Linked DNA regions of Danio rerio. The main gene of each other region encodes a partner of the protein of the gene in region 3 in a complex. Links are inferred from orthologs where the notes say so. Each region holds a gene or a part of one and is shown on either strand. Other genes may lie near its edges.

Region 1 (3,652 bases), on a different chromosome or scaffold from region 3:
TGGAGGGACAAGATTAATGACATGGTCGATTTTCCAGTCAGGTATACTGAAAGTTACTCAAAGTTTCGTAGACTTTCACTTGCACTGGTGTTTGAATGCTTAAATTTTCCCTTTCACAATTAAGTATCTACTATTCACGACAGAAATAACATTGTACTTAGAAAAGTGAACTGTCTTATTTATCAATATGGCAACTTGATTTTGCGTTAGATTCAGCGATGGCAGAATCACGAAAAATTAGGGGGTTTGTTAAAACGTCTAATATAATATAATATAATACTTTTTTTTTTCTATAATGTATTTTTTATGACGTTATTTCACGTGTTTAACCTATTATTATGGTTAGGCTATTTTTCACTGCCATTTAATTCCTTTCCCACTTACCACCTGTTAATCAAATGCAGTCACCAGTCTGTACCTGTTCAAACACAGTCAGTGCTTGTGTCTTGTCTACTCAGTGCTTACCCAGTCCCTCTTTAATTTTGCATCTTAAAATTTAGATTTACAGTGGCGTTTTTCAAAATGTCCAGCAATATTTGTGTCAGTTCTTGTTTTGCTGTGAAAATATAGACATTATAGTTCTTATAACTTTTTTGACAATTGGTCTTTGTAATTTATATAAAGAAATCACTGAGAGAAACAAAGAGTGAAAGCATTTACCTCTTAACCATTTGAAGCCTACTAAATCCTATTTGATACATAAATGGCTCTTAAAATCTAGCAATAGTAAAAGCATGTTAAAATGTAAAACTAATTGTGAATTATACATCAAATGTAGCTTTGTTCAGATAGGCTTTGCCCGAATGAGTGTTGTGATAAAGTCACATGATACATAGTCACTGACCTAAGGAGAAGTGCAGTGTTGTGCCATGTCTATGAAAACTCAAGATATAGCACACCAGATTTGCACTTTCAATTCGTGAATATAATGTTATTTAATATATAACAATGCATATGGCACAGCAGAAATCTTAACGGTGTCCTGGCTGGTCAAAATCCGCATCAGGTAAAAAATGACAAGCTCCTCTACATGTTGTGCCATTTACTTGATTTTGGATTAAATTCAGTAATCTCAGAATGGCTGACTGGTTTTCTATTCATTATAGGTTATGGTAATTCGGCTTTCAAGTCAGTGAAACAAACCGAAAAGCCAGAGAATTTGATATTTGGCTTAGAGTCGAAATCCCAAATTTAGCTGCTTTATGCCTGTCATGTAAATATGTTTCTAAAACTTCCACTGAATAATTCATTCAGATGATCTATTTTTCAAAGTTATACGGGATAATATCAGCTCACACATCATTAAAACACCATTGCAATATTATCATAGTCACTCCCTAGTTTTGTGTGTTGTATAATTTGATTTAACCACCTAATAATGTTATAATGTTTAACCTGTTTAATTTCCTTTCCTTATTAGAAACTTGGACTTGAGTAAGTTTTGTATTGGTCATAAGGGTGACATCCAGCAGCCGCCAATCTATGATCTGTACGCTGTCATCAACCATTATGGTGGAATGATTGGAGGACACTACACAGCCTATGCTCGTCTTCCCAGCGACAAGAACAGCCAGCTTAGTGATGTTGGTATGTCTGAGCTCTTCTGAATTCAAAACATCTCTTTGGCTGTCATGTAATGCCTATTTCTGCATGTCTTCTGCTATTTCAGGCTGGCGTTTGTTTGATGACAGCACAGTCACGACGGTGGAGGAGAGTCAGGTGGTGACGCGTTACGCCTATGTGCTGTTCTATCGACGCAGGAACTCTCCAGTGGAAAGGCCGTCTCACCTGCTGGGACCCCTTGGCGCTGAATCGTCTGCTGCCACAGGTGGTGCTGCCAGTCAGGTGAGCTCAGCACCTTCTTATGTCACCGCAACCCAGTGGAAAAACCGTTTCATCTTAGTCGTGCTGCTATGTGCTTGCTCATTAATACTGCAAGGGATTGGGTAACATTCCTGGTGGATGCTCAACACTGACAGTAGGGTGTTTCTCCATCATTCATTTTTTAATGAGGTCTCACTCAGACAACATCAGCTGATTATAGTCTATCAGCTTTGGGAGATTACTTTCTCTTGGATGTTCTGGAGCTTATCTTGAGTTGTGACTAATAGATGATTCTCAAAGCATTGAGCATTGATTGAGTCGATTTGATCACTTTTTTGTTTGTTTGTTGGGTTGATTTTTTTTTTTTTACTCATGATTTTGTGGCTCTCAAAAGGTAAAAATATACAGCACATTGATCTCATTATGAACAGTGTCAAAACGTGCGTAAACAATTGTACAGCAAATTTCCAAGACAATCAATGTTAGCAATGTTAGCTAACATAGTTAGCAATTAACAATGTTAATCAATGTTAGCAACAAGCTAGAAAAGTTTACAACATGCAAATTCATATTTTCACCATATTGGCCAACATGTTAAAACATAATAGCAACATATAAAATGTGTTAGCAGCATGATAAGTAAAGTTAAACACACGTTGTTGTGTTAAAAATGTTACAAATATTGTCAGTATGCTAGCATAGTGTTGTAACTGCTAAAAAAGAAGTTAAGAAATGTTTTTATATCTTTATGACTTTACCTTAAAGAAGCACTTCACATTTTTTGGAATTAGTCTCTTTTTACAAGTCCCCTAGAGGTAAACAGTAAAGAGTTTTACTATTTTTGAAGTCAGCCGATCTCTGTCTGACTAAAGCACTTTTAGCTTAGCTTAGCATAAATCATTGAATTGGATTAGACCATCAGCATCTCACAGAAAAAAGTGATATTACATAGACACAATGATTACAGTGCATCCAGAAAGTATTTATAGCGCTTCACTTTTTCCACATTTTTTATGTTACAGCCTAATTCCAAAATGGAATAAATAATTTATTTACTTAAAATTATACACACAATACCCCATAATGACAATGTAGAAAAAAAAAAGATTTTTTGAAATTGTTGCAAATTTATTACAAATAAAAAAGCTTGAAGAATCACATGTACATAAGTATTCACAGCCTTTGCATATTACAATTACATTTTGCAATTACAGCCTTAAGTCTTTTTGAATATGCTGCCACAAGCTTGGCACAACTGTATTTGGGAATTTTTACCAGTTTCTCTTTGCAGTACCTATCAACTTTATCAGGTTGGATGGGAAGCGACTGTGTACAGTCATTTTCAGATCTCTCCAGAGATGTTCAATAGGATTAAGGTCTGGGCTCTGGCTGGGCCACTCAAGGACATTCACTGAGTTTATTAGTCTCATTCACCGAATTTTAGTCCCATCAGACCAGAAAATTTAGTTTCTTATGGTCTGAGAGTCTTTTGTCAAATTCCAGGCAGGGCGTGGCTTCCATCTTGCCACTCTACCATATAGGCCTGATTGGTGGATTGCTGCACAGAAGGTTGTCCTTCTGTTAGATTCTCCTCTGTCCACAGAAGAACGCTGGAGCTCAGACAGAGTGACCATCGGGTTATTGATCACCTCCCTGACTAAGGCCCTTCTCCCCCAATAACTCGGCTTAGATGGCCGAACTGAAACTAAAACATGTTACCGAATGATCAATGGAAACAGAATGTATCTGAGCTCAATTTAGAGCTTCAAGGCAAAGGCTGTGAATACTTATGTACATGTGATTTTTATTTATTTATTTATTTATTTTA
Region 2 (4,302 bases), on a different chromosome or scaffold from region 3:
TTATAGTGCAATTATAAAAACACTAAGGGTGATATTTACAGATACGTGTACTATAAACATTATATAGAGGTTGTATTAACTGTGAACAGAGATTTACAATTAGATGAATATATGTACAGGCTGCTATAAACAATCAGTGGTATGCAGATAGATATGAACATAATTACACTTGTATTTGTGCAGAGGATATTTAAATTCAAGATGAATTAGTGCAATTTTAGAGTAAAACTGTAAACTAGCAATATCATTGCAATAAAAATGACTTCTTTTATGTCTGCGTATTTTAAAATGTAATTCAATACAAACATACTATTATGAATATTGTGCTATTTCAAATTGATGGATTTTCTGCAATAGAAATCATTTGTATCATTAACTCAGTTTTATTGAATTTAATTCACTTGTGCTGTATAAAAATATTGATCTCAAAATATCAATAAAAGCTTTTGAATGATAGTGTATTTAAAAATACCCATAAAAGCATAATTATAATATTTAAATATTGTATATTTCATGTTTAAAAACTCATAAACCCTCAAAATCTGTCAAATAAATGTGTTATTCTCTGATTTCGTGTTCCTTTTAAAAAGAAATGTCTCTTTAAATATGTAAACTTCTACAGCTTACGTCTTCAAATGCTCAGTTTATACCGTATTTTGTACTGCTAAACAACAAGAAGCACCTACTCCTAAGAGCATATAATGTCTCTCTACAGTAGATGAATATATGTACAGGTTGCTATTAATAATCAGAGGTATGCAGATAGATATGAACATAATTACACTCGTACAGTATATGTGCAGTGGATATGTACATTTAAGATGAATTAGTGCAATTTTAGAATAAAACTGTAATTAGCAATATCATTATGACTTCTTTTATGTCTCTGTATCTTAAAATGTAACGTAAAACAAGCGTCAAATAATTATTAATATTGTGCTACTTAAAATTGATGAATTCTCTGCTTAATAGAAAGTTTGACATAATCAGTTGTAAAATAACTCACTTTTAATTAATTTAATTCACTTGTGCTATAAAAAAAATTGATTTCAATGTTTAGAAAATGTCAATAAAAGCTTTTGAATGATAGTGTATTTAAAAATACCCATAATAGCATGATTATAATATTTAAATATTGTATATTTCATGTTTAAAAACTTATAAACCCTCAAAATCCCTTAAAAAAATGTGCTATTTTCTCGTTTACCCTCATTCGTGTTCCTTTTGAAAGAAATGTCTCTTTAAATATGTAATCTTCTACAGCTTCCGTGTTCAAATGCTCAGTTTCTACCATATTTTCTACTGCTAAACAACAAGAAGCACTCACTCCTAAGAGTATATAATGTATCTCTCCCTCCCTGAGTCCAGAAACCCCCACCTGAGTCACCCCACCAACCCAAGCGCAGGGTGCTGAGGGGCCACTGAGACTAATGGCCAGCTGCTATTTTGCAGTGACTTTCTTTTCTCACTAGTCACATGGCTGTTCTTGAACGCGCGGCGTGCGGAATCGAAACTGTCTTTTCAATGAGAGTCCACCACTAGCCCACGCAAGCCCCAAAGACAGCACGATGTGAAGTCCCGCAAACAAGACAAAGTGTGTGTGGTAAATTTGTTTGAGAGTGGCGGCGCCAATGCAAATGCAAGTGGCAGGCAATACCAAGGATCCTCGCCAGAATGGAAAATCGGTCATTGTGGGAAGGGTTTGCTGGGTCTGACCCTGGCTGCTACTAGACAAGCAAGTGTGAAATCCGTATGAAAGGTAAGCAGCTGATAACATTACCCAACAAAGGCAATATCATCTTCTTGGTTCTCGACGTTTTCCTTTCCAGCACTCTCATATCTGCCTACGCCGATTTTCTCCATCTCGTCTCGCTGCGTATATGTGTATTTCACCGTGGTCAGTCTGTTGTTGTTTGCTTGTGGTGAATGAAATGCTCCCAAACATCAAACAGCAGTGGCGTTGAGCGCTGTTTGAAAAGGACCGCTACTCTGTGGTCTTTGTGCTTCCCTTTTCATCCCGCTCAGAATGGGCAGCATATCAAACAGTTTTGTTTTCCTTTCAGAGCTCATTGCGTTTGGCTGTAATCGTCACACTTTTTCGGCCGATGATATCCAGTTGCTTTTCTGATGTTTACTTTGCAATTAGGAGCACATCACTCATGCCTGTGGGGTCTGTTGCCATAGTTACAATAGGGTTCCGAGGTCTATCATCTGGTCCTCGCGTCCACCAATCAGGTTGCAGAGCTGAAGCTGCAACATAAAGTAAAGATGCACATCTTTCAGCAACACAGTTGTAAGAAAACAGAAAGAGATTCATGAGTAAAAGAAAGTACTCCGGGGTGGCAAGTAGGCGACTGCGCCCAGTCATGGCGGACGGCAGAAATCACAGCGGAGGAGACACCCAGCAGGAGAGGCAGGTGAGAGCATCAACCATTTTGAGACTTAACTCACATTATTGTTCTTGGAGTCTTCTCCGTGAAATGTGCTGGTCAACGAGATTAGCATTAGCAGTGCCAATAAACGGCCGAAGAATGGACTGTGAACGTCAGGCAAATGAAAGCGAGAAAAAAACGCCGCAGTTTTCAATATGATTCTTGAAGCCTCTTCACATCCATTTCTTTTTCTTCCCAAAGCGCGATCAAAGAACTCCAGCTGGGCTGTTGTTTGCTTCTGGTATCTATTTTTCCGTTAATTTGCGAATGGGAGGATTCGTCGCGTAAACTTAATTCGATTGCTCCTAGTATGCATATGTCCATGTCTTTGTGTTTTCATGTGTGTGTGTGTGTCTCTCTCAGTGTATGAAATTGGCCTAGATTAATCATAGCACTCCAAATCTCATTACTTGGAACATCTGAGGGAACGCTGTCTTTAAAGGGCTCTTTGGAGGGGGCTTTCAAATCGGGCCTTCATCAGATCAAAGGCCTCAGATCTGGGATGAATATTTGTCCTCGGCGGATATGTCTCGAGATAATCAAGCATGGTCAGAGGATCCACCATTGGGTGAAGCACAGCAGCGAGGGCTCCATGTCCTCGCCGATTCCCGACCGAGCCGTCTGAGAGCCTGTCGATATCCAGCGAATGATGTCAAAATAGCGCACCAAAGGGGGGCTGGGTGGAAAGCAAGAGGATAAAGAAAGATGGAGGGGAGGACCATCGCCAACTAAAGCCAGTTGTGCTTAAAGATGGCGGCCGGGGATGCCGCAGACTGCGTAGCACGAGACCAGATCCGTTGAGGCAATCGGGATAGTCTACGGTGAAGTTGAGGTAACTGTGAAGGCGGCATGTGCATCGATTGTGTAACGTTGATAATGGCGGCGGTACGCCGAGCGTTATTTGCCACTCTTTCCTACTGTTTTTATTGTTTACATCTCTCCCGGCCCTCTTGCTTTCAAAGCTTCAATTGTTGCGACCGCTTGCTGTGCATTTCAAGCTCGTAGCATCGGCTCGCCATTTGTTAGCGAGCAAAATCTTTCGCCTATTATTAGCGGTCATTAGCGGCGCATTGTTTGCCGATGAATTGTAGCGAGCCGCATGTTTTCCTATGGAAACATTAATCAGTAGTTAGACAAACCTCAAGCAACAACCTGTTTAATCCTGTGTGGCTAATCCACCCTTGGCCTTGTTAGTCACGATTTATTCAGCTATGACAAAAGATATCAGCAGGACTCCAGAGGACATTCTGACAGTCTTTAGATAGCACCTTTCTCCCAAGACTTGGGAGCGCTAAAAAGAGCAGCTTATCAATACACCAAAGACATTTTCCCTTTCTGATGTCCCAATCATTCAAATATAAATCAGCTTTTCTCCAACCGGACCCTCGTCGCCTTTGTTTCGCAGTACTCCTATAGCCTAACCATTCCAGGCATGTGCGTCTTTGTCTATTGTCAGTTGTATCTCGAAAATCTCAGTTTTTCTCCCCCTCATAATTCAAAGCCTTATTATGCCACTTTTTTTTTTACAGAAGTGCTAAAAGCAGCCTTGAAGTAACTTATTTGAAGGAATAATTATCTTTTGTAGAAATGAGAAGAGCAGCACTCAGCTTTAACATCTAAATGGGCTATTGTCAACTGATCAGGCTCCTCAAAAGATAAGCCTATTTCAAGCAAAGCCTACGAGGAGGGGTAAATTTGCACTGGCAGCTGTAACAAAAACCAACACAGAGGAATGCCGGCCAGAAACGGGGTTTCTTTCTCCCGTCAAGAGGACTTATATCATGACATTAGGGTAATCTGTCATTATTAGCACTCCTAAGGTTTGCTGTTAGTTGCACCAACTTTCCATTGCGAATAACATGTTAAAGTT
Region 3 (3,652 bases):
TAAATTATGAAAAAGTTTTTTCAGCTTTGTTTTCAACAATGTTCTTTGAAACCACAAAATAAACATTAGATCATAATATTGAACTATAGACTTGTATAGTTTAAATGCGAGTTGTATGAATGGAATTTTGATTTACTATATTTGCCATTTTTACCTTTAAATTCCTCCATGTGTAATACAGTCTCAGTGAAAGTAGTAGACCATTCTGGCAATTTTCCCCCACTGTTTTACGATTACTACACGTTTGAAAGCACTATGCACTTCACATACTAAATAGTAGAGAAGTAGGCTAGTTTGAACTTTGTTATACTAGTTCTAGTGTGTTTCTTTGTGGTTTTAGTTAAATGCTTCAGTACAGAGCTCCTCCAGACATGTGATCGCCTGTAAAATGTTTCTTTACAGTTATAAAACAAATAGAGGTTTTGTCTGGGTGTTTAACCACACATCTTACCATATCTTACTTTATTCTAGCAACATAAATACCATGGCTTTGGTCTTTATGGACTTACAAAAATATATTTGTTTAATACAGTGTCACTTTGGATAAATGCATTTGTAAAATTATAATGCAACACATGCCTCTGCATCTCCCTAAAATCTTGATCCAGGAACATGTGTAAATCTTGTTCAACATCCATTTTTATGGTTAGCAGTGCTACACTTGGAAGCAAAACTATGTTTGTTTGTTAACCTTTCAAATCCACCAAGCCTAGACTACAAGCCTAGAAAGGCATTGAGGACGTGGTGCTAGCTGTTGTGCTCAGGCTAATTTTGGCCTCAGTTGTTATACTCGGAGAGCTGCTCCGTGAGGAGGCTAAAAATACTTGGGGCTTTATCAGAGCAGATGTGTTTACTAGCAGATTCTAAGCCACCTACATACACACACAGCTCACTGTCTGTCCGCACCCCCACTCTGCTTTCTGGCACGGTCCTGGTTCTCCCACACGAGACGATTTACTGCGCTCTGATCCTGCCACGCTGCTCCTTTCTTATAGTCTCTTTATTCCTCGCTTAATTGATGTCAGTGTTAAATCAGCAATCAGTCTTATTCATTTGCTCCCCTGTGCTGATTTACAGATACTTTTTTGCCTCCTATTGATTGCTGTGTAGATGTAGGTTATATATAGCGGTAGGGTGTTACAGCTGGGTCACACGCTCCTATCTTGCATCCATTGCAAATCCTATACTTCTCTCCACAGGTCGTCCCATACACATTTACACTTTGCTCTGCAGATTGTTGCCATAGGAACACTCCTGTAGCAGACATGCGCCTTGGCCCTCTGAGTCCACTCTCCATGTCTGGCTTTAAAGAAAAAAAGCCAATGCATGACTATCTGTGCATTTTACTCATGCCAAAAATAGCTTCCCCAGAGCCCCACGTCTGACTTATCGGTGCCACTAGATGGCTATATCTGAGCCACTGAGGGAGAAGAGACATTGCCAGGCACACTGCGCTGCTCAGACTCTTTCATAGCTCTATTTGAAGTTCATGCTGCTTGAATCAGCAGAATCTGGATGTACCTTTTATCCTGAGGCCACGTTTTAAAATGTCTATTGATTCATGTTGAGGAAACAGAGGTGCTCATGTGCATTAGATGCCATCTGATCAGTGTTTCTGTGTGATCAGTGTTTCCTGAATTCCTTCTTCCTATGGACATTCACAAACTAGCACAATCTTTAGTGATTGGAACTACACCTCTAGGCCTGTTGGTAGCATAGTTCCTTGCTGTTATTTTCTGAGTTATCACCCTATTAATTCCACACACGTCAGCCAATTTGAGTAATTTTGAAAGCTTAAAGTTTTCTTGTTCACATTTGATGTAATTTCCAGACAGAAGAATTTTTTAGTTTTAGTTTAACGATCCTCTGACTGGCAATTGTGGTCTCTGCTTAGTGCACTAATGGCCCATTTCCACTGAGTGGTACAGTAAGTGCCAGTACACTTTTATGGCCATTTCTACTGTCAAAAGCAAAAAATTGGTACCTAGCACAACAAAAGGGTACCAAAAATCACAGCTAGACATGCAGCTAAAGCTATTGGTTTACAGAGAAATGTCACTAGCGCGTGCACAAGCCAGGAGAACAAAAACAAAGGAACCGCCATTTTCAAAAAACATAGCTGAGACATTACACCATGATAAATATATACAAATAATAACAATAACAATCTGAACCTGAAACGAACCTTTTCTTCATCTTAATGAACAGCCACAAACCCAAGAAGAAGAGCAGAATCTACATGTGTCCTGTTAGTTACGAGGTCGCCTAAAGCACGAGTGGTTTCACTTTCTCCAGAGAGCTCGCATGCGCGTCTGTATTTGAAATAAACCTCTTGAGCTAATGATGATAATAACGTGCACGTCATTATTGAAGTGCTTCTGACATCTGATCCTTTCAGAAACGGACAAACACCAGAGTGAAACTTGAAAAAACAGGAGCAAGTGATTCTTTCAGCAACGTAAAACATGAACAATCTGCCATGTTTAACCATCATCATCACCTTTTGGATTATTATGAACCCGGAATGACTTTTTTACAAGAGGTTAACATTACATGTGCTGGTGAAAAATAAGATGAGAGGTTTGGACTGACTGTATTTGTTTTAATCGTTTATGAACACAAATAAGGCCTAAATGTAAGTTTTGGGGAATTGTTTATTTGTAATTGGTAACATTTTAGAGACTGTAAGGGTCTGTATGTGTTCATAACTGTTTTATTTTATACAACCGCAGATGATACAGTAGGCTATTTCACATTATCATTGATCTGCAGCTTTAATCAAATTCTGTTCATAGAAAGGCAGTAATACACATATGTTTAAATAGCATTTGTTTAGTAAGGAGTGCTTCTCCTACGATATGTGAATTCAATCAAGAATGACGTCGACTGCAGGTTTCTGTCGAACGCCACGTCCACCAGAAGAGTACCATTGGTACTCTTTGGCAGTAGAGACACGAGCCTTAAAGGTGACCCATACTGAACCTTACCGTACTGTACCACTCAGTGGAAATGGGCATGAAAACATTTATGCTACTCTTAATGCAGCAGTGGCATCTGTTCAGATAAAGCAATTGCCCCTTGATCATCATGGAAGTTTTGCATTTACCTAACCTGGTTCAGACAATCTCCAACAGAGTTTGTAAAACATTTGTGACTACATAGTTTATTTCCCAAATGATGCCTCGTACTGTGGTGGTTTAGCTACGTGTTATACTTCATTGTTTGGGAAACACACCCCTGCTCATTGTTGTTCCTTGTAAGTGCAAGCAAATCCATTACCTTTGGCCATCTGTGTTAGCCAGTCTAACTCTCTTCTCTGTCTCCTCTTGTAGAAATGAGTCGCCAGACTGCCACAGCGCTGCCCACAGGAACCTCTAAGTGTCCCCCTTCTCAGCGCGTTCCAACTTTGTCGGGCACCACAGCATCCAACAGTGACCTCGCCAGCCTGTTTGAGTGCCCGGTCTGTTTCGACTATGTGTTGCCGCCCATCCTGCAGTGCCAGAGCGGCCATTTGGTGTGTAGCAACTGCCGGCCTAAACTCACCTGCTGCCCCACCTGCAGAGGCCCGCTTGGGTCGATCCGTAATTTGGCAATGGAGAAAGTGGCCAACTCAGTGCTTTTCCCCTGCAAGTACGCCTCATCGGGCTGCGAA

Evidence for each region.
Region 1: the proteins of siah1 (region 3) and usp19 are in contact, whole or in part, in a crystal structure (PDB 4X3G), measured with the Homo sapiens proteins. The link is inferred for Danio rerio from reciprocal best matches to the Homo sapiens genes SIAH1 and USP19. Residues at the interface, in NP_003022.3 of Homo sapiens: Cys130, Pro131, Thr156, Leu158, Gln159, Asp162, Ile163, Val164, Phe165, Leu166, Ala167, Thr168, Leu172, Val176, Asp177, Trp178, Val179, Met180, Asn276; in NP_006668.1 of Homo sapiens: Lys463, Pro464, Thr465, Cys466, Met467, Val468, Pro469, Pro470, Met471.
Region 2: the proteins of siah1 (region 3) and axin1 are in contact, whole or in part, in a crystal structure (PDB 5WZZ), measured with the Homo sapiens proteins. The link is inferred for Danio rerio from reciprocal best matches to the Homo sapiens genes SIAH1 and AXIN1. Residues at the interface, in NP_003022.3 of Homo sapiens: Cys130, Pro131, Ser154, Thr156, Leu158, Asp162, Ile163, Val164, Phe165, Leu166, Ala167, Thr168, Asp169, Val176, Asp177, Trp178, Val179, Met180, Asn272; in NP_003493.1 of Homo sapiens: Pro378, Lys379, Glu380, Val381, Arg382, Val383, Glu384, Pro385, Gln386, Lys387.

The regions. Positions count from the first base shown.
Region 1 is NC_133198.1:23,057,476-23,061,127, reverse strand, and holds part of usp19 (ubiquitin carboxyl-terminal hydrolase 19), read left to right. Parts: coding exon 1-41; intron 42-1,420; coding exon 1,421-1,587; intron 1,588-1,669; coding exon 1,670-1,845; intron 1,846-3,652. UniProt on the Homo sapiens protein: Deubiquitinating enzyme that regulates the degradation of various proteins by removing ubiquitin moieties, thereby preventing their proteasomal degradation. Stabilizes RNF123, which promotes CDKN1B degradation and contributes to cell proliferation.
Region 2 is NC_133178.1:42,753,889-42,758,190, reverse strand, and holds the start of axin1 (axin-1), read left to right. Parts: upstream 1-1,470; 5' UTR 1,471-1,759; exon of another isoform or gene 1,760-2,250; intron 2,251-2,280; exon of another isoform or gene 2,281-2,417; intron 2,418-2,451; exon of another isoform or gene 2,452-3,178; intron 3,179-4,302. UniProt on the Homo sapiens protein: Component of the beta-catenin destruction complex required for regulating CTNNB1 levels through phosphorylation and ubiquitination, and modulating Wnt-signaling.
Region 3 is NC_133193.1:19,853,585-19,857,236, forward strand, and holds part of siah1 (E3 ubiquitin-protein ligase Siah1), read left to right. Parts: intron 1-3,332; coding exon 3,333-3,652. UniProt on the Homo sapiens protein: E3 ubiquitin-protein ligase that mediates ubiquitination and subsequent proteasomal degradation of target proteins.